Linked DNA regions of Oreochromis niloticus. The main gene of each other region encodes a partner of the protein of the gene in region 2 in a complex. Links are inferred from orthologs where the notes say so. Each region holds a gene or a part of one and is shown on either strand. Other genes may lie near its edges.

Evidence for each region.
Region 1: the proteins of rev1 (region 2) and polk are in contact, whole or in part, in an NMR structure (PDB 2LSI), measured with the Homo sapiens proteins. The link is inferred for Oreochromis niloticus from reciprocal best matches to the Homo sapiens genes REV1 and POLK. Residues at the interface, in NP_057400.1 of Homo sapiens: Asn1158, Leu1159, Ala1160, Gly1161, Ala1162, Asp1167, Leu1171, Leu1172, Glu1174, Trp1175, Thr1178, Ile1179, Met1183, Glu1185, Asp1186, Gln1189, Val1190; in NP_001374042.1 of Homo sapiens: Lys564, Lys565, Ser566, Phe567, Phe568, Asp569, Lys571, Arg572, Arg575.
Region 3: the proteins of rev1 (region 2) and polh are in contact, whole or in part, in an NMR structure (PDB 2LSK), measured with the Homo sapiens proteins. The link is inferred for Oreochromis niloticus from reciprocal best matches to the Homo sapiens genes REV1 and POLH. Residues at the interface, in NP_057400.1 of Homo sapiens: Asn1158, Leu1159, Ala1160, Gly1161, Leu1171, Leu1172, Trp1175, Ile1179, Asp1181, Pro1182, Met1183, Glu1185, Asp1186, Gln1189, Val1190; in NP_006493.1 of Homo sapiens: Thr528, Glu529, Pro530, Phe531, Phe532, Lys533, Lys535, Ser536, Leu539.
Region 4: the proteins of rev1 (region 2) and pold3 are in contact, whole or in part, in an NMR structure (PDB 2N1G), measured with the Homo sapiens proteins. The link is inferred for Oreochromis niloticus from reciprocal best matches to the Homo sapiens genes REV1 and POLD3. Residues at the interface, in NP_057400.1 of Homo sapiens: Asn1158, Leu1159, Ala1160, Gly1161, Leu1171, Leu1172, Glu1174, Trp1175, Ile1179, Met1183, Glu1184, Glu1185, Asp1186, Gln1189, Val1190; in NP_006582.1 of Homo sapiens: Gly232, Asn233, Met234, Met235, Ser236, Asn237, Phe238, Phe239, Gly240, Ala242, Ala243, Met244.

The regions. Positions count from the first base shown.
Region 1 is NC_031977.2:16,939,306-16,946,355, forward strand, and holds the start of polk (DNA polymerase kappa), read right to left. Parts: upstream 3,015-7,050; 5' UTR 2,738-3,014; coding exon 2,609-2,737; intron 1,338-2,608; coding exon 1,218-1,337; intron 1,090-1,217; coding exon 937-1,089; intron 671-936; coding exon 539-670; intron 449-538; coding exon 298-448; intron 185-297; coding exon 1-184. Other genes in the region: cert1 (collagen type IV alpha-3-binding protein), read left to right, coding at 5,097-5,186, 5,297-5,431. UniProt on the Homo sapiens protein: DNA polymerase specifically involved in DNA repair. Plays an important role in translesion synthesis, where the normal high-fidelity DNA polymerases cannot proceed and DNA synthesis stalls.
Region 2 is NC_031987.2:21,426,259-21,433,868, reverse strand, and holds the start of rev1 (DNA repair protein REV1), read left to right. Parts: upstream 1-4,593; 5' UTR 4,594-5,137; intron 5,138-6,399; 5' UTR 6,400-6,997; intron 6,998-7,610. Other genes in the region: aff3 (AF4/FMR2 family member 4), read left to right, coding at 1,800-1,936, 2,019-2,090, 2,194-2,287, 2,379-2,428, 2,536-2,741, 2,856-2,977. UniProt on the Homo sapiens protein: Deoxycytidyl transferase involved in DNA repair. Transfers a dCMP residue from dCTP to the 3'-end of a DNA primer in a template-dependent reaction.
Region 3 is NC_031978.2:15,456,889-15,463,775, reverse strand, and holds the start of polh (DNA polymerase eta), read left to right. Parts: upstream 1-3,875; 5' UTR 3,876-4,051; coding exon 4,052-4,188; intron 4,189-5,299; coding exon 5,300-5,434; intron 5,435-5,620; coding exon 5,621-5,853; intron 5,854-5,982; coding exon 5,983-6,161; intron 6,162-6,241; coding exon 6,242-6,345; intron 6,346-6,438; coding exon 6,439-6,558; intron 6,559-6,801; coding exon 6,802-6,887. UniProt on the Homo sapiens protein: DNA polymerase specifically involved in the DNA repair by translesion synthesis (TLS). Due to low processivity on both damaged and normal DNA, cooperates with the heterotetrameric (REV3L, REV7, POLD2 and POLD3) POLZ complex for complete bypass of DNA lesions.
Region 4 is NC_031982.2:27,839,086-27,846,915, reverse strand, and holds the start of pold3 (DNA polymerase delta subunit 3), read right to left. Parts: upstream 3,015-7,830; 5' UTR 2,914-3,014; coding exon 2,857-2,913; intron 2,330-2,856; coding exon 2,274-2,329; intron 1,844-2,273; coding exon 1,744-1,843; intron 1,648-1,743; coding exon 1,608-1,647; intron 1,370-1,607; coding exon 1,237-1,369; intron 1,080-1,236; coding exon 824-1,079; intron 732-823; coding exon 659-731; intron 1-658. UniProt on the Homo sapiens protein: Accessory component of both the DNA polymerase delta complex and the DNA polymerase zeta complex.

The DNA.
Region 1 (7,050 bases), on a different chromosome or scaffold from region 2:
AAGCGCATCTCTCGCACAGCCTCTTCAACAGATGTCCCAAACACCTCGAAATCACCTGCAGGAGCACGCACACCTTCAGGGCCCACTGGGCTGGGAGAGGAGCCTGGGCTGTCCTCAAACAGTACTGGGGAGAGCTCTCTTATCTCTGTCATGGCTTCCTGGGAAAGCTCAGCTTTTTTCTCATCTTTACAAGAAAAAAAAAAAAATAATCACACAACATCAAATGAATTCCTGATATATAAAACTTCATATATATATGTGTTTGTGTCTATATATTAAAGAAAAACAAATCCCTACCTGTGGTCATGTCTCTGACACGGAAGTGATGTGTACGTGCGGACTCTGGCCAGTGCTGCCTCTGCTCCAGGTGGTCTGTGAAATCTAGATAAGCTTCATCCAGGCTCAGTGGCTGAAAGTTCGGGTCATAGTCTGCAAAGATCTCCCGGATCTAACAGAAGGACAGACAGATGGGCACCTGTTGAGCAACAAGCCACTGAAACAATTTGTTTGCATGTGTGTTTTTAGGTATTGCGCTTACCTCATTGCTCACAGCTCTGTACTTATCAAAGTTAAGTGGAACAATGACTAAACTGGGGCAGAGTTTCTTTGCAATGAAGCCAGGCATGGCAGCTCGAACCCCATATTTCCTGGCGTGATAGTTAGAGGTCGACTGTGAAAGGAAAAGAGGCGATATGAATGAAACAGAGAGAGTGGCTGTTCTGGATCTTAAATGGCCATGATTTCAATACTTAATCTTCGTGTAGTTTGTAAAGTAGTGAGAGCATGCGTATACTATATTTCAGTGCCGTGTGGTTTATATTTGAGGTAAACTTTTAATATCTTGTTTCAGAGTTCAGACATAATTCATAGTCAGCATCTGTGGCGCCTACACCCTGAGCGTGTCCATTAGCCACAATAGCAATGTTTTTAACCCACCAGCATGCTCATGGATCCTACAGCCATGGGCTTGTCCTTCAGTTCAGGACAGTCTCTCATTTCAACAGCAGCGTAGAAAGCATCCATGTCCACATGTACAATCACACGGCTTAGATCACGACTCTTCTCCAGTGCTGTGGCCACCTTTTCCACCTACGCAGAGAGAATAAAATGAAAAGAAGCCAGTTGCTTGAAGCTCACCTGAGTTGTGTCTGTGTGATTTTCAGGTCACCTCTGGAAAAAGAAGTCAGCTTTGGCCATGTGAATCCCTTACATCTTACCTGAGCTTGTGCTTTTTTTAACTGCTGCTCTGTGATCCGTGCCTTCTGTAGCATCATTTTCGTAATGCGCTGGTTCACCTGCTGATCTCTCTTCAGCTCATTCTCGTAAAACTTCGATCCCTGCCCAGGAAGGACAAGGACAATGGGGAGTTATAACAACTCCGTTTCACAGCTTTAATAAAAAGCTACTATAGCGCATTTATTTTTAGGACTGGATGTCATTACACAGAGGATAGTGGACACAAAGGGGAACAGGATACAATCTATAAAAGTGCGTGGAGGTTTATATTGTCCACAGTGTCATTTGTGCCTTTTATTGGCTAAAGCTAGATACATCCAAGTAAACCAAAAAAAAAAGAGTCAATTTTTAGATTTTGCTCCCACAATGTCCTCTTTTAGACTACAAACTGAAACAAACTTAACTCATGTACATATTTCAAAATAACATTTTAGAGCACCATTATACAAAAGCTATTCATATTACTGTAAGGAATGAATTATGACACTTATATGGTGATATAAGAAATCTACAAAAAAATGCATCATCAGAAATAGTGTCAGTTGAAGGGTGGCTGTCGAGAAGGCATTCTTAAGAAAGGGAAACTAGAAGAAAAGGCTCATGTGTGTCAAATTACACAAGAAGTGGACTGAAAATCAGCGGTAACAGGTCTTGTGGAGTGTTAAATCCAAATTTGTATTTTTTTGTTCAAATTGTCATCAGTATGTATGCGAAAGAGAAAGGCTAAATAGTGGATGTGTGCAGCCATCTGTGGAACACGGTGGAGGCTTTGTCATGGTTTTTTGTTAAAACTGATTAAATTATGAACACAGAAAAGTATCATCGGATTTGAATCCACCATAAAATAACATCTGGAAAGTGTGTAATTAGCAACAACTTCATTTTTCACACCATCTGAATTAAGGCTTGTGTCCAAACACACTGCCAGTGTGCACACAATGCAACACTATCAGTCATGGATAGCATGGAACTCAACATTATTGAAGCAGTGTGGTATCATCTAAAAGCAGCCAACATCCATAGAAGAGCTTTAAATGTCTCCCAGGAAGCCTGGAGAACTACTCCTGAAGACTACTTAAAGAAATGACAAGAAAGCTTAGCTAAGACAGTTCAGGCTTTGTTGAAGAATAAAGGTGTCATGTTTGTTAGAAATGTACATCCTCTGTCTTTGCGTTATATATAGTACTTCTATGTATTTTTTGTGCGTGTTTCAGTATATTGCTGCCCTTATTTTCCATCCATCCTAGCAAAACATAAAGACATGCAGAACGGCACGTCAACAAATTATCCATGCTTATGTTCTAAAAACTAATCATTTGCATCCTCTCGGACCTCAGGTGTGTCATGCCCGTGTCTTTTTGTGAGCACTTACCTTGGAGGTTTCCATGATGATCTTATTGATCTTGTCTCTGTCAAGACCCTCCATACCAGCTTTGTTGTCATTGAGAGCCATTCTGGAGAGGAAGCCCTCTTCTTTGGTGGATGCCACCCCATTCTCCATCCTAATGACTTACTTAGTGGAGGTACACTTCAGGTTATAACGAAATGGGCTCTTTTCTGAAGAACTCAGAGCTGTACATCCCCACATATGTGCGGCTTTCCGGGCTGGATCAGATCAGAGTTTCTCAATGACAAATAAGAGCCACGGTGACTGTAAGTTAAGTCACTGAGCTTTCTGACATACATGTCTTTACATGTATTGAAAACAGCTACGGCGGCGGTTTTTTTGGCGGCACTTCCGCGTCCGTACGTCATCAGCCAAATAGGCGGGACTAAAAGACCAAGAGCGTCATTTCAGGATTGTACCTTCCCTTCAAAGTTTGCTTTTACAGTTTATGACTTGGGATCGTGCAGTGTTTCTGCTGATATGAGTTAACCTTAGATTGTTATCGGTCCGTTTAAAGTACACTGGATACTCCCGAGTGCCAACAAATATGTTATGAAACCCTTTGGCATATTTCACACGAGGATTTAAAAATGGATCTGCTGGTCAAGTAAATTAAGACATCAACTGATGAAATGTAGTTTCGTTGCAAACAACGAAACAGATCCTCACAACACAAACTGCACCCCATATCAGGGTAAATATTTATGTAACATTTATGTGGCGTCACATTTACATAAAACATCAGTGCTATAGCACACACACAAAACATATTAGTGTTAACTATTCCTACCTGTGATCAGAAGTCATGCCAAATTGATTTTTTTAAATTCCAGTTTTACTGGTTTCTTCTGTTAACGGTAAACCGCTTTTTTGATTGGACTGATCCTTGCTGTGGGTAACAAAAAATCTCCTCATGTGGCCCGTCTGTGAGGTAGAATAATCATGTTTGCCTACACAAAAAGTTAGGCTATATACAACATTGTTTTATACATACTGTTGTAGTCATTGGGGACTATGCAGCAATAATATATATATATATATATATATATATATATATATATATATATATATATATATATATATATATATATATATATATATATATATATATATACATATATATATATATATGTATATATATATATATATATATATTTATAATTACAAGTAAAGAGTAATGCAATCTATGTTTTAGATTTAACCAGACATTTATCCATTATTACAGTTTTTTTGTTCTATGGAAAATATCTACTGTTCTATTTTTTCATCTTTTTGATCTGATCTATCGCACCACTACAGATTATCCTATTGGGCAGTATATTAAAGCCTGGATCAACTGATTGATTTTGGTGTTAAAAATGCTTTACACGTAACTACTTTTAACTACAGAACTATCATTTCCCATTTTGGCAACTTTATTAATAGTTCTTCTTATTTATTCTAATATATTGTCTTAGATTATATACTAATTATATCACTAACAAGTTCTCTGTTAGTGAGATAACCTGAAACAAGCACGCCGTTAACAGTAAATCTTATAAACCCGGTTGTAATACTTATAATACCAATAAAAAGGAAACTAAACATTTTCAAAGCGAGCACAAAAACTTTAGAAACTAAATCAATGCGAACTGAAATGGAAATAAATATTTAAAAATCAGTCAAAACTAATATAAATACAAATGTATAACTCTGACCTACATCCTTCACTGTATGTGTGACACGTTTAAATAAGTATACTGCAAAAAATGGGTTTGGCAGTTTATTTGATTTGTGATACAATCTTTGACTATGCAAACTTTTGATTAAAAAAATATCCAGCTTTTAATTTTATTCAAACACGTATAACTTCCGGTCTGGGGGTGACCGGCGGTCGTACACAGTAAAGCGTGGCTGCGGCTCCTCCCCCCTCGACCCTAAAGAAGAGTCCTCCGCTGCTGCTAACTGAACTGCGGAACCACAGCAGAGAGTCAGTCCGCTGCTCGTCGATTTTCAGATGGAAGTTGATGTGTAGTGGTTTCCCCGAAGGCCTCCATGTCGAGCAGGAGCTTATGGACTGCAGCTAAGATAGCTAACGAGCGCAACCACAAGTTATTAGTTTATTTAATACTAGCTAGTTGCGTCATTTGATAGCCACCGCTAACTTAGTTAGCTAGTCTCAGTGGTATTCGACGTCAGTTTCAAAACAAAGCAGGCAAAACGGAGAAAATCAGATCCAGCTGTCACCTCCAGAATAGGTGGTGGCCAGACAAGCTAACTCGGTTGAAGTCTGTCAGTGACCTAAGATATATTACGCCACCTAGACGCTGTTTTGTACTCTCCGTTAATGGCCAATTAACGTTATTTTGCAGACCTTAAGTTGAAGAACGTTTCTGCAACCGCGTTTTAACTCAACTAATCCAGCAACTAGCGTCGAGCTACGTGGTTGCACTGATACGATCAGATTCAACTTTTCTTCTAAACTTGGAGTTAAATGTCCGAGAAGAGTTCATCGTCCAGTTCGGATGAGGATGTGGACCCGGAATCCGGTCAGCCCCTGGAGCTTGGAGGCGTCCTAAGCAAGGTAACTTTAAGTCAAACGGTGTGCACTTTAAAGTGTTGCTGCACTAGATCACCTGCTGAGCGCGTGTTGCAGCTTTGTAACTGTGTACTTCACGTCTTGTGTGTTTACAGTGGACAAATTACATACACGGGTGGCAGGACCGATGGGTTGTGTTGAAAAACAATACTTTGAGTTACTACAAGTCGGAGGATGAACGGGAGTACGGCTGCAGGGGCTCTTTGTGCCTCAGTAAGGCAGTCATCACAGTAAGTATTTAAACTGGCCACATCACAGGGAACATAGCACCTGTTCAGCATTTCAGTAAGTGAGGACTCATAAGAGGATAGTTGTTTCTCTAGTATGTCTCCCTGTTTTGATCCCATCTTTTCTTATTCATGCACATGCTCTCCATTTTCCTCTAAGATAGAAGGTGAACATTAACTTATATTGAGGCTGTGTTAAGATTACAGATCGATACTTGAGCATACCAAGGGACTATTACTTCAGTGATCATAGCGCTATCAAGTGTTCGTGGCCCTTGTTATCTACTATAAATTAGTGTTTGCCCAGGGTTTCAGATGTAAGCTTTGACCACACACTGTAGAAGTTGGACCTACATTCTTCCTATTCCGGCCTCTTGTTAGTCAGGTAAACTAAAACCTACCACCCTGGTTAAATATTCACTGATCTCGCTCTCTCTCTGATCATACCAAGTACAGAAGCCAAACAATTGGTTTTACTGTAATTTGCACAGCTGTGTTCAATAGGATTACATGATTTTTAAAAGTAGAACTTGAAAAGGTCACAGTGAGGTCCTGCTGCTTGTTGGTGTGAACATAATCAGTTCCTATGCTTGTGCAGACCTGAATGGAGCACGATTGTTTTTTTAATTGCGCTATAGTAGCCAAACCAAGAATGTACACAGTTTTATTACACATACTCACAAGTAATTAGAGCAACATGACCCAAACTATTCCCTGCCTCTATATTTTTTTTTTCCCTGAAGCGGGGTCTAAGGACTCAGGAATGCACAAACAAATCTTTGCTTCTTAGCTCCCCTGTAACAGCTACACACTGATACACAACTTCTAAATAAAGACCAACACGAGACTGTCCTCACGCAGTGGTATAATGTGCAAGAAACGTTACAGTCTAAATACTCTCACTGGAGGCAACAATCAGAAGCTCCCATTGATTATACATGCCATTGCATTCTCCCACCATTTATCAGTTTTAAAAGTTAATCTAGTATATCTTGTATTAAATATTATTAAATTAATCTGATGCACACAGATGCGTTGTAAAATGTCAAAAGAAGGAAAAGTTAAGTCTTAGTCATTGTTAGATCCTATCAGTGGACTGATGAGACTTTTTACTAATAGTGAAGAAATTTACACATTTGAAAAAAAAGCTGATGCTGTGTAGATACAGCTGTGCTTACGCAAAGGGGAAGAGAACGTTCCAGTCATAGGGAAACTGTTATAAACTTCATTGTAAAGGGAAGGTTTATGGTCTGCCTGATGCAGCAGTGCAAGATAAAGTGGATTTGTCAAAGCTATAATCACGGCTGGATGGGCACAAAGCTGCACACACCTTTATAGTGAAAATTTAAAACCGGAGCACTTTTTTCATATCCGACTGTTTCTGGTAAGGGAATACGGTAGTGCTGATTTTGTTAGGAACATCAGTAAAAAGCATTTAAGGGTCATAAAAATCCACCCCATGCTTGTGCCCATTCTAAATATACAAGTTGTGAAATGCAATACCAGCGTTAAAGCATTACTACAATGTTGCATAAAGTTTTTCAGGCTCACACTAGGTGTCCAGAGTTGTGTGTTGCTGTTGTCAGTGGCTGCAAATAAGCCAGCACATGAGCAACATTCAG
Region 2 (7,610 bases):
TGCTGCTTTCCATGCGCCTCTTTAAATGTGCTTAGCTTGCTTATTTCCAGCTCCATGTTTTTATTCTTTGTCTCTGTGTAGCTTTGCATGATTCACAGTTCAAAATAATCCTTCTTTATGCATTATGCATGGGGCGATCGTGGCTCAAGAGTTGGCAGTTAGTCTTGCAATCGGAAGGTTGGCGGTTCGAGCCCCGGCTCGGACAGTCTCGGTCGTTGTGTCCTTGGGCAAGACACCGAGACTACTGGTGGTGGTCAGAGGGCCCGGTGGCGCCAGTGTTCGGCAGCCTCGCCTCTGTCAGTGCGCCCCAGGGTGGCTGTGGCTACAATGTAGCTTGCCATCACCAGCCAAGCTACATTGTAGCCAATGTAGCCAAGCTGTTGGCTACAATGTAGTCAATGTAGCCAACAATGTACAATGTAGCCAACGTGTGTGTGGATGACTGAATGTAGTGTAAAGTGCTTTGGGGTCCTTAGGGACTAAGTAAAGCACTATACAAATACAGGCCATTTACCATTACTGGACTGTGATGTAGCTCCTCGCTTTCAGTGTCTCAGAAATCACAGACTGTATTTAAAAGATGGACATAGCTACTGTGACATCACCCATCTGGATTATGAATATGGAAGACCATGGTTAACAAAGGGACCATATTTAGATGCTGATAAATGCTAATTTATCATCTAATGTTAACAGGCTTGGTTTGGATGCACCACCCATAATCTTTATGGGTGCACTGCAAAATCAGTGTTACATATAAATAAAATACACAATACAAAATTTCACTCAGTGAAACATCGCAAAACTATTCGACATTATTATTTGTTATTTGTCGGATAATAGAAGTAAAAATAAAAAAAATCTATTCTTAATGCAGGCTTCACAATGGCTGTGTAATGGATTAATTTGTTTTTTCAAACTGAGCTTGAGTTTCAGATTTTTCCAACCAATCAGACCACTGCCTTCGGCAATAAGTGCGCTCATAGTTTAAAACGTGCACCAGTACTGAATATACAAATAGTAACATAATACAATTTTACCTCAGACACGCAGCTAGATGCTGCTCTGGGTCAGTCGGCTCTCTGAAATGATTTCTCTCCCTCCTAAGATGTGTTCCCAACTCTGCCAACATGACCTCAAACTGCCCCACTGACAATCCTGTCAGTGGGGCAGGATCCCACAATCCATCCTGAAATATGCACGAAAGCGGCCGCAATACAGCTTCAACTCCTGAAATTCTCCATGCTGCCTCTTTTTCGTGGGAATTGAATGAACACAGACTCTCAGTTTCTTCTTTTTCTTGTTTAGAAACCTCAGGAGCAGCTGATCATCCCTTAACAAATTAGAGAGCAAAACTTTTTTTGTGCCAGGCTTTAAGTGCCATAGTGTAAATATGCCTATAAAGTTAGACATTTTAGTCTTTGTGGACTGACTCATTTTTTTTTAAGTGGCCACTCCAGGAATTACAAGAACCATCTGAAATGAAGCATTTACAGCACATTGAAACATACCCTTACAATAACGATTACACTGACACCATCTGCTGGTACAAATTGGTTTATATCAGGGCGACTGGGGTGCCAGCCATACCTACAGCCAGTTTAGAATCACTAAATAACCTAACGTTTTTATCTTTGGCTTCTTTTGCCTTTCCAACTGTGGGAGGAACCAAGCTGCTGGAGTCAAATCCAGAACCTTTTTGCTGTGAGGTCGTAGTGCTAAATGTGTACCACTGAAATGCCCAACAAAAAAGTAACAAATAAAATAATATTTTGCCTCTTTTGATTATTTCTTTCCAGGTCGACAAGCTGGGGAAGGCTGTGAACTATGTTGATGCTGCTCTCTCGTTCATGGAATGTGGGAAGGCAATGGAGGAAGGGCCACTCGAAGCAAAGTCTCCTTATACCATGTATTCGGAAACAGTGGAGCTCATTAGGTGAATGACATTTCGATGCTAAAGCGGTCACAAGTCATTTGGATTTGGATATGTGCATAAACACGAATTGCTGTTTCTTAAGGTACGCAATGAAGCTGAAGAGCCACTCTGGCCCCGGGGCGAGACAGGAAGACAAACAGCTGGCGGTTCTGTGGTACGTATGTCATCATCTCATCTGTTTAAGCCACATCTATCATCATACTGAAGGACGTGCACTTTGAGGATGATTTTGTGCCATGTCCGACTCCTGTCCACAGTTTCCGATGCCTGGCCCTCCTTTACTGGCAGATGTTTCGCTTGAAGAAGGATCACGCGCTGAAATACTCCAAAGTGCTGCTGGATTACTTTAAGGTACATCTAAAAACAAGTCATTTACTTGAAAACAAGTCAACATTTATGTGTGGATGACACGTCAATAAGCCTTGTTTGCATGTTGTTACAGAGCTCTCCTAAAGTGCCTACTACCCCACCCGGCTGGAGTGACTCTGGGAAGTAGGTGGATGATAACTTTGAATGATAGGCTTTTTGTTTAGCCCATTTAATCCACTGAAACCACCGCTGGTTGCCCATCACTCTGTTGTGTGTGTTTTCACTCTTAGGGGTACAGGAGGACCCCCCTCTTCACTCTCACCTAATGCCAAACACCTCGCACGGGTTTCCCACGAGGGCAGCAGCTCTGCCTCCCTCATAAGCATTCCCCACCGTATCCACCAGATGGCAGCAACTCACCTGAACATTACCAACAGTGTGCTGTACAGCTATGAGTACTGGGAGGTGGCAGACAACCTTGCAAAGGAGAATAAAGGTAGTGGTGATTTAAAGGGGAAATAAAAAAGGGAGAGATTACCATGAAAATATGTTAAATGCATTTTAGTTTTCAGATGTTTTAAGACCAATATCTTTTTTTCTTCCTCATCAGAGTTCTTCAACTACTTGAATACTTTGTCTGGGCCATTGACTCTTCACAGTAGCATCGCTCACGCTGTCCAGTACACCAGGCAGGCCCTTCAGTGGATACGCATTAGTGCCAAACTCAACTAACTTAGAAAGGATTCACTATAACCTGCCCACTGGATCTCATTGACGGTAGAGGAGGTAAAACTCTGGAGAGCACTGAGATGGATGAACCCCCACAGAGCCTAATAACACCCACAGTATGTTTTGGTGCATACACTTCCTTACTGTGTGCACATTAAATGAGCCTCTTAACCATTTGCCAAATGTCCCTCGGACCTTGAAGGATTCACATGTATGTTCAAATTCACCCGGAAAGCCTTTTTCATACTTTGGACGTAATCGTTAATCTAGCGGACTTTTTCTCAAAGGGGCCAAAGCAGGAGAATATCCTTTAAAAAAAAAAAAAAAAGACCTACAACTAGAGAACTTGTTTGCATCTTTTGCTAATGAGGGTTGTAATGATGTACTTTTTTCACATTGTTTTTACTGTGCAATATTTGATGGATGGTTTGTTTTTAGAAAAAAGAGGAAAACTTGCAAGAGAATAAAATGTTTGTCCCTTTTTATTTTTGAGTGTGGAGTTACATAAAGAAACTTTGTAGTGAAGACGTCCCTCTGTCGGTTTACAAATTGGGTCTGGTTAAGGGTTACATGGAAATACATACAGGATGATCATCTTTTCCCTCAATGAGGAATATTTCTTCTAATAATCAGCATGTGAAACCCATCAGAAACCACTGGATGATGGCTGTATATAGTGCTTTTCTACTCGGAGCACTCAAAATGCATTTTACTAGAAGCCTCATTCTCCCAGTCACACACAAATTCTTACAAGTGCTTTTTTCTACACCTAAGCACACCCTGTCTAACATTTGCACACTCCAGTGGATGCACTAGGTTTCAATATCATCCCCAAGAAGACTGGAGTAGCTGGGAATTGAACTACTGACCTTCTGATTAATAGACAGCCTGCTCTACCCCAATGGTGAGATTACTTGAGAGAAAAGATGTGGGTGGCTAATCAGAGGCAATATGTGTTGCATGTGTTTCAGTGTACTTAATGAACCTTTAAATGAGTGCAGGTGTACGTTTATAGAAAGCTACTTTGCATATTTTTGACCTTACTTGTGAATAAGGACTGCTCAGATGGACACACTTTCTTATGAATGTTTCTCATTAGGAAACCTAGTTCATTATACTGATTATACCTTTGCTGACAGGTTCCTTTGATGATTTGGAGGAGGATCTTTTCTGGGCTTTTTTTCCATTACAGACACTCATGCACGCACACACAGTCATAGTTCAATGATTTGCACACAAGAGAGGAAGGTCCACACAATGTGACTGTAAACAGATTTATGTTCCCCAAAACATGAGTCATAAACACAAACACTCACACTGAGTGAAAGTCAGCCTCATTAGTCACCAAGTTACACTCTCCATCACTCCACTCCACCACTTCCTGCTGCACCAACACAGATGTCGCGCATGAAGCTTCAGCATCCGATGTCTGGTACCATAGCAACAGAGAACAACCAATAAGGGGTGGGGGTGCTTTTTGGGACAGGCTTGGGTCAGTAGCATCCTTGCTTTCAGTGAAATACGAGGTCTGCAAACACAATCAGTAGCAGACTACATGTTTATCCCCCTCAAAAATATGACCCACTTTATTTACACTTCCTTTAACACCAGCTCCTGTGTTGCAGTCTATATTTTAAACAAACCGATCAAAGATGGGAAAGCTTTAATTAAGTGTCCAAATCAAACAAGGTACTAAAGAGGAGACAGGGCCCAGACTATTTTTTTATGCTCCTCAGCGTCCAACCCACTTATTTTGCTAGCGATGGGGGAAACTCCACCCCGTCTTTGCTTTTGCTAGCGCTGTTTTTAATATTATGCAGGACTACGGTTAAAATAGAGAGCAGGTTCGCGCGGACGAGTGTTCACATCCTCGTTCGTGCTGCACGTGCCTCTGCGTCACGGCCGTCAGTTGCCTGTGAGATGAACGGCCATCTGAGGACAACCGTGCTGGGAGCCAGACAGTATACGCACACCGTGGAAAAAAACCGGTGGATGTGTGCGTGTCCCTAGACTGCTCCGCCAGCCGCTGTTGTGCCGCAGAAAAGCGGACACTTTGCACACAAACCCTCCTGAGTTCAAATGAGCAGCGTCACTCTGAAATAACCGAAGGTCGCAGCGACAAAATAGCAGCTTCACACCGGCGACCCGGTTTTCGGCTCCCGAGTGAGTAAATTAGCACCGCCAGTGGGTTAAAAACTGCACAGAGCTTTCATGAACTGTTATAGACAGTCCAGGTGACATGTACGTGACTGTCCGCGTAGTGGCAGCATCGCAGCTTCAAGCAAATACTGTATACAGTGCTGAAAACAAGAAGCCGGGGATGATGCGTCAAGCTACCTGAAAGGGTACCCGACGACCGGAAGTTGGGCGTATTTTGTTTTTGAAAATAGCGGTTTATGCTAGGCAAACTTTTCAGTTTAAATCAACAGATATATAGAAATGTGTGTTTGATTTTAAGGAAAGCGCACCAATTATCATTTGGTGTTTTTTCTACACTGCATATCATACATACAGAAATACATTTTTAAAAACTATAGAAAATCAAATGCTGTCCACATGTTGGAATATACTGAACGGTTATCTTAGCTTATGAGTGTGCGTTTTCCATAAGTTTAAAATATGACATAAAACTACCGTGTTAACAGTCTGGATATTGTAAAATAAGCTCATGTCTGCAGTGCGGTATATATGTGAGTAATCAGACACACCATAAGAAATTACACTGGAGGTATAGGTCAATTAAATTCCACATAATTTTGCTCCCTTACACAAAATGTTCCCATAGTGGTCTATTTTTGTTCTACCTCTTTTGGCTGCTCAATACAGGGGTCGCCACAGTGGATCATCTGCCTCCATCTGACCCTATCCCTCATCCTCCTCTGTCACACCAACACTCTCCATGTTCTCCAAGAACTTTGTCTGTTGTCTTCCTCATCTCCTCCTGACTGGCAGCTCCATGTCCAAGATCCTTTGTCCAGTATATCCACTGTGCCTCCCCTGCACATGTCCAAGCCATGCCAGCTTTGCTTTGCATTTGTCTCCAAATCGCTCAACCTGAGCTGTCCTTGTGATGTACTTCTTTCTAGTCATGTCCATCCTGGTCAGTCCCAGTGAAAATCTAGCGTATTCAGCTCGTGTCTTTTTATTGGTGTCACCATCTCCAAACTATACACCATAGCATCTCGTAAACCTTCCTTTTCACTCTTGCTGCCATCTTTATCTCAAAATCACTCTTGACACTTCTGAACTCCCTTCTTTACCTCCCCTGTACACTGCACATTGCTTTGCATGGTTGATCTCAGGTATTTAAACTTATCTACCTTCACTTCATCTGCTTTTTGCAGCTTCACTGTTTCCACAAAGCAGTTTCCTTCTCATTCACACACATGTATTCTGTTTTGTTTGTACTGACTTTCCATCTGCAGAGCATACCTCCACTTGACCAGGCTCACTACAGATCATGTCATCTGGAAACATATTGTTCCACGGAGACTCCTGCCTGACCTGTCGGTCGTCATCATTGCAAACAAGAAAGGGCTCAGAGCTGATCCCTAATGTAATCCGACCCCATCTTGACTCCATCTATCACACCTCATGGCAGCTCTGCACACCCTTGTTCCTGAAAAACATAACAGCCTAGTCGACAACTTTTATTTTGAAATTTTTGCTACCGGAACTACTTTTACCTTGCTCATTGGTGCTTACTGAGAGAGAGAAAAGAAAGCAAAGGGATTCAGGCGGTTGAAATGGAGAGCGAAGGGACTGGGAGGGTGAGTGAAAATGTTCAAGAGACATGGCGTGGCAGCATGACACAATAAAGGGGACCTCGGTTCACCAAAAGGAGTCCTCGGAATAACAGAATCGGGGAGGCGGAGGACTCGATCTGACTGTCTAGAGGATTTTCATCTCGCTTTGCTTTGGTCTTACCTCGTTTAACCCAATCAGTGGGCACACAACGTTTGAGCTGAGCAGTATCTGCAGAGAGAAGTCTGTGGCTAACAACCAAGTCTGACAGGATACAAGGTAAAGCACTTCTCTTTGCGAGCAACCACTCAGGAAGGTTGGTTTGTTTACAGCCTTGGTTATCGCCACACTAAAGTTGCATAGTCTTATAGCGCTGTTTAACGCTGGGTTGCTAATTCTGCCAGTATTGTTAGCAAGAGTCTGCAAAACACTCAAACTGTTCCTGATCCTTAATTTATAATACCATTTAGTGGCGTAGCGACATGCATTATTAACCAGCTAAAACCGCTTAGAGTTGCTAGGCTAATGTTAGCCGTCCACCTAGCTCGTACTTGAAAGAAGTGACAAAGTGCCACATGGGGCTATGCTGTGACCTATAGCGACTCGTTGTGACCTACCTGTCAACAGTAGAGAACCTGCCCGGGCATGTCCTTTGGCACGGACGGCTTTCCCATAAAGTGTGCGGCCAGTACCATGGCATCTAAGCTCATTTAACATTGATTCATTTAACTGTTGTTAATATCAGTCATCAACACTGGTTGCATTGTTCCTGCCCTTTGGTTTGCACATGAGGAAGTTTTGTAAACAAGAGACATCACTCAGGAAGGACTGACTTTACAGTCACCTGGTGTTTAAAATAATTGCCACACCATCTGAGCAGCATTTATGCCAT
Region 3 (6,887 bases), on a different chromosome or scaffold from region 2:
GCTGTAGGATGAGGACAGATGTGAGAATCGTCATCTTAGTGGAATTGGAAGATAAAGGTAGATGAGGATAAAACTGACATGCTTTTTTCAAACAACAGAAACCAATTCTAAAACTGAACAAGATGAATACTTTTCCAGGAGCAAATTTGATCTTTAGTTTTTGTTTTGTTTTGTTCTGTTTTGTCTAATACTGGGGATATGCAAATTGTTAAAAGTGATAGACCTCTTGTATCCATCCTCCAGGCTTCCAGCATCAGCTTCCAGCCTGGAGGATGGATACAAGAGGATGGATGGATACAAGAGGATGATTTGTATGATTGAGGTTGTTGGCTGGGCTCTATTTGGTTCAATGTTTGTAAGGGAGGAGGAATGTTGGCGAGTGGTTGAAAGTGTCCTTGTGAAGTTCCTTGGATCAAAGAATGAATAAATTACACCCATTTATACCTCTCGGATAATGTTTTTTATTTTTATTTCAAACTTACCAAATTATTCACAGGTTATTTTTTAAGGGGCTTATGTCAAGACAGATGAAAATCAGTCACTTGGATTTTTTGAATTTTGAAAGTGATCAAAGCCAAATAAAATCAGCAGTGTCGTAAAAAGGTCATTTGACTGTTTACAGCCATTCTTTTCACATCATAAGACCATCATAAGATAAGTTGCATTGCTCCAGTGTCCCACCACTGCCTGAAGCTTAATTTCTCTGATTTGTTAAACCTTTGTGGTGCCATTTTTATGATAATTTGCCAACTTATGAAAACAGAAAGGTTATGTTAATATCTTACTTGTATTGGTGTGCAGTGCAGTCGTACCGGTTGAAGTAACTTCATGAACTATTATGTGCACTGGCATCTGTAAGTCTCCAATGACACACCAATACCAGCCGCTGCTCTCTGATCTCAGATCGCTCATAGTCACAGTGAAAAGATTAGGGACACTCGCATTTATTTTCACAGCTGTTCCATCTATTGATCCATCTTGATTGGTTACACAGCTGCTGCCCAGTCTACACCACATTACTCCCTTTTCTACTGGATAGTTATAGCAGCACACAGCAGTCATACTTTCTCCTTCAAAACCTACAATTTCCTGTTGGGTTACATTTAGACTTTTCATACCTTGAAGGGAAAAAAAGATACAGCCATTAGCCATTTTTTCTGCCAGGTAGTTCACTGAAATGCCTTGTTTAAAACATCAACGAGGAATTTAAAACCCTGAAATAAGAGAGTTTACTGTACCTGTGCTGACAGACAGATGAAAATATTGTTTATCATCTCTTCCATTGCCAGTCTCTATAGCACACCAGAAATACTTGTTGACTGTGAGATCATTATTAATAGTCACAGTAAAGATTCTTTGGTTTGTATCATTCGAGATGGAAAACTTTCATGATGTTTTCATTTGGCTTGTTTTCATTTCTTGAGAGCAAACTAACCACCAGTATCCATTACACAAGTATTTCACATGATTTCTGTAGAGTGGCTCATATTGACATGGGATAGAGACAGAACCCAGTTTCTTCACTGACACTTTTTTCACTGTAATAATTCCACAGTGAATTCCTAACAAATTAAAAGAAAATAGTTAATACGAGTTAATACCTTAAAATGTCCCCTGTATCACTTTTAAAATTCAAAATCATGGCCTAACAGTAAAATATTAAACACAATATTAAACGCTGATGATGAACCACTAGTGACTCATCTCTTTAAGTTAAATATTTACCAGCTCGAGGCTTATCTTACTTACCCAGCAATCCAGTGAGCAATAGGTGATAAATATATAGAAGAACCATGTTGGTACAGCTGCTGTGAGTGAGTGACTCCTTTCACTATCACAGGGAAAATTTCAACCTGGATTGCTTCCTCATTTTATTTATATTTTTGACAGTGTTTCTCTTTTCAGGGCTTTTACAATTGACTGCAATTCACCCAAAACTATCAAAAGTATATTTCATAATTTGCCTAATTTATAAGTCACGTGTTAGTTAAACATTGTTCAAAACCTCTCACTGGTTACTGTAAGGAATAAACTAGTTTGTCTGACTTTTTGAAATCTATTAACATTTTATTATTTATAACAATACAACGAGACAAATGAATAGATAATGATTTTAATGAGGATTCCCATTTGAGAGCCATTGGATCAAACCTGTTTTGATAGTTACAATAGCCCCTAACTACATCTGTTGGAATTTATCTAAATATATTTATTTCTGCAATTTATTAGTAGATCATTTGTGTTGTTTCACTATATATGTTTATTTTTATGTCAGTCATTAGAAGAATAGGTGGACTTATATTCACCCATGGTCTCTTACTGAGTTCTGTAGTTCTACCTCTTACTGGAGCACTCTGTAGACTGCCATGCAATAACTCTGTCCTCAGCAATCAGATCTTAACAATCTTGGGTACATCTGCCCTCAGAAAGAGACTGAAGTAACTCTAACAAGTTCTTCAGCATTCTTGAAGCCAAACACCTTCTTTACTTACCACTGTTGCATGAACTATACTCTTCATTTTTGTTGTTTCTGCAAAAAGGTCTTCTTTCATTTTACTTAAGGATAGCCCACAGATTCATAAAATGTTTACTGTGGCTTTTAGAATATAGAGAAGTATAGAGAAGGCCAGAAGAAGTTGTGCTGTTCCTTTGTGCATCTAGAGAAAGGTCCGAAGAGGGGAACTGTAGCATCGCATGAGAAAGTGCAGAGGGTTAGTAAGGAGGAAGCTAATGCAGCTATGAAAAGGATGAAGACTGGAAAGGCAGTTGGTCCGTTGGATAGACCTGTGGAAGTGTGGAGATGTTTAGGAGAGAGGGCAGTGGACTTATTCACCATATTGTTTTCCCACACCTTGGACAGTGAGAGGATGCCTGGGCGCTGTTGAAAAAGGAATGTAAAAAAGGAGTGTACTGGTACCAATTTTCAAGAATAAGGGGCAGAGCTAGGTTAAGAAGATGTAGTGTAGATGGCAAAGTATAGAGAAGGTCAGGAGTTCCACTGGTGGTCACTAAAGGGAGAAGGCGAAATACTTCAAAATTACACTATTAATACATTGCATTTTCCATATTTTGCAAGTGTTTTATCACTATCCTTAATGACTAAATGCCCTTCCACCCTTACTTTATATTATGGATGCCCTTGTATACACCCCCACAGTGTTTCTTGTAACTTACACATTGTGTATATAGTGTTTGTATATATTGATGTTTTGAAACTTCACTTTCTTGCACTTTTGTGGTCTTGCTAGCTAATTTCGCTGTGCAGGCAGTGTTGCCAACTCCTCAGTAAGGAAAATCGCTATTGGTTGTCCTAAAAGTCGCTAGAAGGCGCTAAATGACGTCATCACCTAATTTGCATAATTGGTCATGCTAATATAATTGTAACCTATGTTGTTGGAGAGAGAAATAACATCGTGGAAGAGACATAAAGTGAGTAAAAAACGTCCTAAATGCATTTAGAGTTTATTTAGAACTACAAATTAAATTTCTTTTAGCAATTATTGTTTTTTTTAATGTCACAATTCCAACCCTGCTCCTTCACCCGGGCTTGGACTGGCAAAAGTGATCCGAAATAGGCACTCTGGTGGAGTTACTTTGTGTGTGTGTGTTTATAAGTAGTTTTAAACCTTGTGATCTACAAAACAGCATATGAGTAAAAGAGTAAAAGAAGAACTGACTGTGTTACAGCACCCGCTGCTTGTTGAGAGTAAAAGCGATACGTGCTTTCACGTCTTTTTTAGCGACTTTTTTAAGAAAAAAAGTCGCTAGGGGGTCTGAAAACTCGCTAAATATAGCGACAAAGTCGCTAAGTTGGCAACACTGTGTGCAGGCAACTGTTTTTCTTCAGTGGTGACGACATTAGCAAGGGACTTCTTCGTCGACTGTTGATGACGTATTTATGTAACCCTCGAAATGCAAAGCGGTCGGTGTGTATTTTGGCGGTCCGTTCAAGTCCACCGAACTTTCAGTTCTGATGACAGCTGTGAATTAACAGCCCCGCCAAGAAGCGGACATATATCTTAACACCACCGATAGATTTTCATCGTTAACAATGGAGTACGGGAAGGAGAGGGTGGTGGCGTTAGTAGACATGGACTGCTTTTACGTGCAGGTGGAGCAGAGGCTGAATCCAGCTCTGAGGAATACTCCCTGTGTGGTGGCCCAGTACAAGACGTGGAAAGGAGGCAGGTGAGTTTCTGACACAGAGATGCTGTTTTTGTGATCGACGCAATTGAAACACCTAGCCGAGCTGCCGTTACGAAAACATTTTTTTCTGGTGTTCCTTACGCTGTTATGCATACACTCAGTGGACAGTTTTTTAGGTACATCCTGTTCGTACTCCTACCTGCAGAACTGCCTTAATTCTTTGTTGCATAGAGTCAACAGGTTGATGTAAAAGCCAAACGTCGAGTGCAGTGAACTCACTGGCATGTTCAAGAAGCCAGTTTGAGATGATTTGAGGTTTGTGACCTGGTGTGTTATCCTGCTGGATACAGCCATCAGAACATGGTTATACTGTAGCCATAAAGGGATGGACATGGTAGGCCGTGGTGTTTAAACAATGCTCAGTTTCTACTAAGGGGCACAAACTGTGCTAAGAAAATATCCCCCACAACATTACACCACCACCACCTCCACCAGCCTGAATCTGAACTCATCAGACCAGGGAACATTGTCCTATCAGTCCTCTCTTGTCTAATTTTGGTGAACCCATCTGAACTGTAGCTTTAGTTTCCTGTTTTTTAGCTGACAGAAGTGGCACCTGCTGTGGTCTTCCGTGGCTGTAACCCATCTGCTTCAAGGTTCATCGTTTTTTGTGTTTAAAAATGCTTTTTTTGCATAACTTAATTGAGTGGTTATTTGAATTTGAGTTCCTGTTGCCTTCCTATCAGCGTGAAGCAGTCTAGTCTTTGACCTCTTAGTTGCACAAGGCACTTTCACCCAGAAAACTGCTGGTTTATTTTCTCTTTTTTCAGACCATTCTCTGTAAACCATAGAGTTGGTGTTAGGGGAGAAAATGCCAGTAGATCAGCAGATTTTGAAATAATGAAATACTGGATCAAACAAAATGGTCACTAGATTACAGAGAATTTAAACATTCCCCTCTCTTTTTGTAACCCACTGGTGAATTCGTTCCCAGGACTGCGTGTGTTCAGTTGCATTGACCATTTGAATTGATGTCTCTGTGTTGGCAACTCACCCGCCTTCATGTCCCACAAATAACCGCTTTGACACCTTCTAAAATGTTTTCACACTTTGATTGTTTTGTGATCCTTGACTAAATGTTATTGTTTCTTAGTATTATAGCTGTGAGCTACGAGGCCAGGGCCCATGGTGTCACCAGGAACATGTGGGTGGATGATGCAAAAAAACTGTGCCCAGACCTCCAGGTGGCACGAGTGCGTGAGTCTCATGGCAAGGCAGACTTGACAAAGTAAGTGCTGCTGCTCATGTACATCCCCAGAGACTTCCTCTTTTTAATTGGATCAACATTAAATCTTTGGATCAACACTCGATCAACATTAAGTCTTTAATTAAATTTACGATTATTTTTTAAATTGCCTTAAATTCTTGTGGCCAAAGCTGTACTGCAAATAACTTCTTTCTGTCCCCTTTATAGTTACAGAGAGGCGAGTGTGGAGGTGATTGAGGTCATGTCTCGCTTTGCTGTGATTGAGAGAGCTAGCATTGATGAGGCCTACATGGATTTGACTGCCGCTGTCCAGCAGCGACTGAAAAATATGACTGACAAACAAATCGAACCTTCGCTCTTGAGGACTACCTACATCCAGGGGTACCCGCAAAGTTCACCTGCAGCTGAAGAATCTGCAGAGGATACTGTGCTGGATAAAGGTAGGCTGTAAGCTAACTTCAGTTACCCAATGAGTTGTTTCTGCAGTTGATACAGAAAGCTGTCGAAAAATAACAGCTAAAAAACAATGGCAGGCTGTATCCTCCTAATAACATCATGTTTGTGCTCAGAGGAACAGCGATCCAGAGGTCTCCAGCAGTGGCTGGAATCTTTAACGTTCCCGTCAGTGGGTGAGCAGAGCTCTGCAGAACTGCAGCTAACTGTTGGAGCACTGATTGTTGAGGAAATGAGAGCAGCTGTGGAGAAACACACAGGTTTCCGCTGTTCTGCAGGAATATCACACAATAAGGTAGGATAAACTCCTATTTAATAGTCTAAGAGCGGTAACTGTGTTTGCAGAGATAATCATTTACCGCTCACTTTTCCAAGGTATTGGCTAAACTAGCCTGTGGTCTGAACAAGCCCAACAGACAAACTGTTCTTCCTCTGGACTCTGTGACAGAACTTTTCAGCAGTCTCCCCGTTGGCAAGATGTAAGTTTAGTTATGTCATTGCTTACATTGACAGAGTGGCAGCTAAAACTTCAAATTAAACCCTGTGCTCTTGTATTATTTATTTCCCTGCAGCCGTAACCTGGGGGGTAAGCTGGGAACTTCAATCACAGAAACTCTGGGAATAGAGAACATGGGCGATCTCACTCGCTTCTCTAAGGCTCAGTTGGAGCAGCACTTTGGAGAAAAAACAGGGTGAGAGAGCCAGAAATGCCTTTAAACACTGTCATTTTGATAATGGTGACATAACTTGCTTAAGAAAATAATCACATGGTGTTATTAAAGTAATAACAAGTAGTTTTGCACTTTTAAACTTCCTTAAACATTTCTGAACTTCTGAACTTGAACTTCTGCTTCAGAAAAGAAACTTTGTAATTCTGGAAACCCTTCAGTACTACAGGGACCTTAAACTTTATCCTGCTTCCTTGTTTAATGTAGTCAGTGGCTGTATGACTTGTGCCGGGGGATTGATTTTGAAGCTGTGAAACCAAGACAGCTTCCAAAGTCCATTGGCTGCAGTAAAA
Region 4 (7,830 bases), on a different chromosome or scaffold from region 2:
AAGTTGGGACGTGGCATCCATGTTTTCCAAGTAAAACGTAACATTTTGATTTCTGACCAGAAAGGTTTTCCACTTTGCCTCAGACCATTTTAAATGAGCTTTGGCGGAGAAGATGGCAGGGTTTCTGGATCGTGTTCACAAGTGGCTTCTGCTTTAGAGCCTCTACATTCAAACCTTACACTCCATGCAAGACAAAACTGTTTTGCTGATTACAACCTGCAGCACTTTGGTACTTTTTAAAAAACTTGTTGGCTCACTTGCTGATTATTTTCCACCATGACGAGTAACGCATTCAATTATGATGCTTTTACTAGGTTTATGTGAAATAAGAACATGACAGGAACAACATTTATTTATATAATAATGTGATTTGTACAACTGCTCTGAAAGGCAGATCGTGTGTCAAATAAAGAGCAAAATACTACTACTACTACTACTACTACTACTACTACTACTACTACTACTACTAATACTAATACTAATAATAATAATAAAAACAAACTATGAGCAGAACAGTTTCAAGGTTAAAATAGAAACCTAAAACAAAATAACAGCAGTCTAAATGGAACATATGAATTTTAATCCCCCTTTTAATAAAGTACACCACACACACACACACACACACACACACACACAATTTTTTTAAATTATTACTCACTTGATGTTTGAGTCCCAAAGAAGTTTGCCACTGGATTGACTTTTGCGACCGGTTTGCTTTTGGGTGCTTCGATCTAAAATACAAAATACACACTTAGAAACAAATAGAGCAAAAACTCAAGTACCCTGGAGAGCAACTGACTGCAGCACAAGGACAAAGCCGTACATCATGTGCATCCTCTTTCTTTTCAGGCTTCATCTCTTTGCTGTTATCCTGACTCTTAGGAGCAGATTTGTTAGCAAACATTCCCATGATGCCTTTTGGAGGCTTGGCGGATGATTTTAAAACTGGGCTGGTGTCTCCATTCATGCCAGCCTTTTTGTTTTCAGGCTCAGGTGTAGGAGCTTGCTGAACTTCCCTCGCCTGCTGCAGCTCCACAGAAGACATGGGCACTGCGCTGGCACAGCGGATCGCGCTGTATCTGAAAACCAAAAGGAAATAACTATTAAATAATATTAATAACATTATACATTAATTATGCTTTCATTCTAATAGTGGCTAAACTAATTTTTACACAGATGGTGTAGAAATGCTGATTACTGGTCACTGCAAATCAAAAAACACCATGATTAGCATACCTGCTGCAGTTTTTAAGATTGTCTTTCACAGCGTCGTAGTCCACAGCGTAAAGTGGGCCGCTGTCTTTAAGCAACGCTTTCTGGACGCTGTAGACGTGCACGCTGACTACCAAGCTCATCTTGGCTTTGAAGTCTGCAGAAGAAAACAGCAAACTTGACACACTGCTGCTTCATTTACAATAACTATGTCATTAAATAAAACAAAATACAAAGAAAATCAAGACTCACTGACATAAAAGTGTACCATTTAGTGATGGTGATGATTATGAAATGAGGACATTACTTTCGAAATGAGAACCAAACAACGAGCCAACCTTGCTGTTACAGAGCAACACAACCGAATGATGTCATGTGAATTAATATTTACACACCTTCCAGCTGCTCCTCTCTCACAACAGACACCTTGTGACTCTGAAAAGCAAACACAGTGTAAAAATCATTAAATCTGCAGCTTTGTGCATGTAGAAAAAAAAAAAAAATCACAAAAATTGCTACAACAGGTCTCACCGTTTGACCGTTGTCCACAAATTTCCCTGACACAAGGTAGGTGGCATGCAGCTGAGCTGAACTCTCCTTCCTCTTGTGATCCAGGTAGTGGTAGAGCATTCTGAACACAAGACACAACTTACATGTATTTCCCACAACTTGAGCCTTTACCTGGGCCACTTAGGAACATCAGTGTTTATGGCATTTATGTATTTATCAGCCAATGACACAAAGTGTTAATGATCTTTTTTTAAAAGAAAACACACAGCACCTTTTTTTGCATGCACACATATGCCAAAACATGCAAACATGTGCATGTCTTCATCTCAGTAACACAACAAAAACGGTGTAACTCATTGCAGAAAAACTCAAGCGACATTCCACTGGACTATTACTGTCAAATGTAGTGCTTCTTTGGCGCTAAATACAGTAAACCCTAATTAATTTAAATTTGGGATTGTTGCTTGGACAAACAAGACATTTTGAAGATGGAAAAAAAAAGTATCATATATTATTTTATTAGTTCATGGCATGTCAAAGTAACCACTTACTGTTTTGCTGTGTTGACATGAACTCCAAGAGTGAGACTCAGCCATTTATAGGTTACCTGTTGTAGAGAATGCACACAGGACACTTGTATTTACACAGAGACTATATGACGGATAATAAATATTATCCAAATATTGTCATTTCTTTAAGGTACCGATTATTGTTGCTTTCCATTAAGCTACGTGAGCTGGGAAATATCTAATACTTATCAGATATAAACAAATATCGACTTTATGTCAGTGTTTGAAATGTCTTTACTACAGCAGTGTTTGTCACGCACTTGGCGGTTTCCAGCAGTAACTGAAATTGGTCAACTAAAAATAAGCTTTTCTTCAATTCAAGTGCCATTTACTACAGCATGGCAGAGCCGAATTAACACGGAGACCCCTGAACATCCCTAAAATTGATAAAAATGCCCCCGGATACACATAAATTGTCGTGAAAACCAGACAAAGTTAAAACGGCAGTTTTTTTGAGCGGAGTTCAGCAGCCAATCATGTCGAAGCCAGAGCTAATTCATGTTCTAGTTCAGCCAGAAAACGTCATCGCACAAAATGAAATACCGCGAATTAAGAAGGCACTTACTATTTTATTATGGTCATTGACGTATTCGTCAATATTATCCAAATAAAGCTCATCCATTTTGGTTTATTCTCCTTGAAAGCAGACGACTTGCTGTTCCAATTTAACTGCGCGGGAAAGCAGTTTATTTACTTCCTGTTGCATGTCACGTGTCCGCCCGTCCTTCCTGTGAAGCGAAAGGCTTTAGGCTGCCCTCTGCAGGCCAGACGGGGCTGTGACTCACTCCCTGGATCAAATGAATGATAGAAGTAAAAAAAAAAACAGGAGCTTCATTCATTTATTTTTACTATATTCCACACACATTATCATTATTAATACGTTTTTTTTTGTACCCCAAAACCAACACGGGACAGTTAAAAATCAGTGCAAACTGTCTGAGAACAGCAAAATCCACAATGTGAATGCAGTGGAGCTGAGTGGAGAGAGCATCAGTTCATTATAGGCACTATAATGCACCTATGTATGTGGAAAACAATAATGATGATGGGTCTCCAGGGGCCACTTTAAAGCTATCTCTTATTATAGTAGCCCAACAATGTGCTCCAGTTTTACCTTACCGTCTATGCGGGAGGCAAAGGAGCAGTGTGTAGAAAATAAAGCAAGCTTCTTACACCGCCATCATATCAAAGAGCAATAACTACAACAGCAGCATCCTCAGATTGTTCAGTAGAGAAGTCCATTCCTTCCTCATGGGGAGTCTGCATGATATTTCTAACTCAGGCAATAATAAACTGAAAATGACAACAGAACAAAAATGGTTTGCCCAGTGTGTCTTCAGCTTTCAGGCAACTTTCTCAGGTCACAAGAAAAAAAGTGCAGTGCTCAAAACATAGGATTATATGAAGTGATAAGCTTCAAAACATAAATAACAGATGTTAACTGACCTCCGGCTCCTTAGGAAATAAAGTAATCTTTCTCCCGCTTGTATATGGGTATTCCAGTCCAACTTACTGTTGGGCTGCACACCAGGGTATCTGTGGTTGAAGACCACTTCCATCTCAGTGCTCCTTACAGTTATTGGTGTTGATTGGCTCCTTCTCCCACCCCTCGTGAAGTCTACAATGGTTTTTGTGACATTATGATGAAGAGGATTGCATTCAAAGTCCTAAACTGTTCCTCTATTCTCCTCCTGCTCACCACTTTTGATTGAGCCGACAACTGCTGTGTCATCAGAAAGTTTCAGCAACAAAGTGTCACTGTTGTGCTGATGTCTGAAGTCTGCCGTAGACATGGTACATGCTACACACGGGACTGTGCTAGAGACACTTTTTTGCAGATGCACATATTGTGGTCGGCAGGAGAGATACTCCAAAAACACAAGACCATTGATGGATTGTAGTAAAGGCACTGGAGAATCAAAAAATGTGAATGTCACAAATGCATTGACCAGATATGTATGTGGCCTCTGGATCGACACAGCATTGGTGTGCTTCACTTCTGTTGCATCAGATCTGAAAGAGTAGGTTCAAAAAGTTTAAAGTTATTTATTTGCTTTAATCAAAATGAAATTCACTGACTCTCCCATGTTGATGGGGAAAAAAGAGACTTTTTGTCTCTTATGGATCAATCAAGACAATTAAGAAACTGAATAAATAAATAAATAATGTACCAGAGGAACATTTCCAACCCTGAACAAATGTGCTAAACAAGTAGAAAAATAAGAATGGTTTTAAACAAGCTAACCCATATCATTATCTGAGCATTTCCATTTCTACTCTACCACTTGCAAACCTATTGCTCCAAAAAGCCTTGTTAATGAGATGTAGCTGTCAAATCTGAGTGACACGCTGTATATATGATTATCTGAGGTGTGTTCTCGCAGTCTATCTGATGTAATATTTAGATTGAAGTAGCTCTGAGTCTTCAGTGCACAGCGCTGCTCAGCCTGCACGGTAACTTCTAATAGAAATGTCAAACAGAAGGGCAGCGACGTGCAGCAGAGGAGGGAAAAATATTCCCATAATGATGACAAAGTACAAGAATAATTGTCTCACCTTGAAGACGGAGAGCAACACTGAAATCCTCAGGTGGATCAGATTTGGTTTAAATGAAGGAACATTGTGATCCTCTTTGTCTTTCTTCTCATTGTGCTGCACACAAGCACCTTTACCTTTTTGGGTTTTTTGTGGACTCCTTTGCAAATATACCAGTGCAAAAAATGTAAAAATATTTAAAAAATTCAAATTCAAATTCCCTTAAAGACTTTTTTGTACTTTTTTTTGTCCATATACAGCACCACAGATTTTAAATCAAGGAATCAATAAGCAGTTAAAGTGCAGATTTTTAGCTTTAATTTAAGTTTAACAAAAGTATTGCAGTAGCTATTTAGGATTTTTAGCCAGTTTTATACATAGTCCTCCAGTTTCAGAGACTAATAATAGTAATCGGACAGTTGAGTCATAAAAAGTTTTATGTGAGGTCTGTTCCCTTGTTAGTCCATGATAATATTAAACAGATAAAAGACCTTCTGTTTTTTCCAGGTTGACATTTTCACTGGAATTCTCAGAATTCCAAAGGCAGAAGTTCAAAGGCAGTCCGTCAACTGATGTTAATGCACCAGACAAGGCTTTTTAGTTAGTGAAGACAAAACTTAAGGCGCAAACATACAGCAGCTGAAAATGGCTTGAGTAAAGGCCTGAGAGAAGGCGAGAGGATTTAATACAGCATTTGTTAATTTCCACGAGCTTCTAGATTTCAGTCAGTTATTACCTTATTTTCATTCTAGTATTATATTTTGTGCAAACAAATTTTAAATTGAAGATTTTAAATTAAAATTATATCTGGAAGTATATAGTTCCATTGCAGTGGTGTATAGAGGCAAAATTGTGTCCAAAAACCTAAAGACCAGACTGTATCTCACAAGCATGTGGAGCGTGATCAGTCTATGTCTGTGGTTCTTACAAAACTACAGACATAAAAATTTGGGGAACCATTGACAGATATAGAGTTCAAAAATAGACCAAATGTGCTTTTACGTAAAAATCCTAATCTATGAAGGTATACATACTTGGATGTCAAATTATAAATCAATCCACTATATTTCAAAGAAAGATGTATTTATTCTTTTAAATAGATGTTTCCATAAATACCAGTCAAGTACAATTTTACAAAATCAGGTCACTAAACCAGGTCAGGGTTAAACAAGGTTTTTTTGTTTTAATGAAAGGATTCAGAGTCAGTCAGCACATCTGATTCACTGTAAGCAAAATCAGGGGTTGAATTGATATCAAACCGCAGCCCTCCTCTTGTCACACCAGAATGTCACTTGAGTGTCCCAGTGCCCCCCTCTGGTTGGCTCAAGTGCCTCTCTGCTATGAACTAATGCATCAAAAGTAAACCTTCTCTGTAATCCAGCCCTGCACGTGAAAGAAAAGCTGGCTCTCCTTTAAAAGCCAATGCTCATCACAGCTGCTTTCAGAATCGGGGTAATGTTTGAAACAGTGTTATTCCTCCTTTTGCTGAAGCGTTTATGATACTTTTTATATTGCATTTGTTACTGTTCACTCCCGAATTACATCAAAACCGTGACTGGCTGTATTTGTGTGGATCAAGGGGTTTATTATTGGTTTTATTTTACACTTTGTTTGCAAAACAAACAATATTGGACGTGTCACTCTATATAAGAAATTCAGTCCAAAGTTTTACATTACAGATGCAATTTCTTAGTGATGCAGTGGCTGTGCCATATTTAACATGCCGGTTCATGCGGGCAGAAAAATACGTTTATGCTTGTAACACCTGGAAATGTTGATAAGTGTCGGCAGTACCTGCAGGTGTCTAACACTCTGTGGCTGCCTCCTGTGCTGCCAAAACATCTCTGATCCATCAGGGCGTGCACGAGGTACCGCTGAGGGTGGTCTGTGATGTCTGGCACCAGGAAGTGGATGTTGGCTTTGGGTCCTGTGGTGGCGCTTCCTTGACCGAGGTTGTTCTGGCGTGTCCTGATGCTCAGCAGGATTCACGTGTGGTAGGGTTAAAATCTGGATCAGCGCCTTGGGCAGTTTGTTAAGGTCTTTGAACAATTCGTAAACTTTTTTTTTGCCATGTGGTAGATTGGCTTACATGGGGAGATGATTGCTATCAGGGAGTGACTTTGACGTTAGATACACTTGACCTGCAGCAGTGGCAGCAGTGTAGATGTTACCCTGACATGCAGTGCTCCACATCATTGCAGAAACTCATGCAGAACAGATGGTAGATGGTATCAAATATTTCAGTGGTTTTAACGTTGTGGCCGAACAGTTTATTTAGGTGGTGTTGTGCAATCATACAAGTTTTGTTTTGCCATGGTTGTGACTGCGATCATCATAATATTTCTCCTTCACATACCATGAACTTCTATGACATTGACTTTTTAATGATCCTCAGAACTTTTAAATATTGAAAGAAAACAGAGAAGAACTTTTGATTGCAGCAAGAAAGAAGGATGGTAAACCAGGACGATTTCCCAGACACTGGAGGAGAAAGGATAAAATATCAAACCAGCCTCGCCAGGACTGGGATGGTCTTTTTGGCCGTCTCCGCCCACCACTCTCACAGCATCTAAGTGTCTGAAAAACCAAGCCCATCCTGACCTCCCTGCCATGGCCCCCAAAAATGTAATTAAATTAATTTTTTTTCTAGTTCCGGTGATATAATTTGATTTGCTGGGCCGCTTTTGTCAAAATAAAAGAATGCAAATAAAAAAAATTAAAATGAGCAAATACACAACAATGAAATCTACATCTACCAATCTACAAATAAAGAAAACACCAAATAAAAGAAAGTGAAAAACTAAAATTACTTTCACATCATGACAGTCGTATCAGTTTATGTTCATCTTAACTTTGACTGGCCTAGAGTTTATTTTGGAAAGCTAAAAGTACACAGTATCTACACGATGCGTTAACACACAGAGGTCACAGTTTCTTTTTAATGTATATATATTTACATTTATGGAACACCTGAACAGGAACCTTGAACATGATCACACCACAC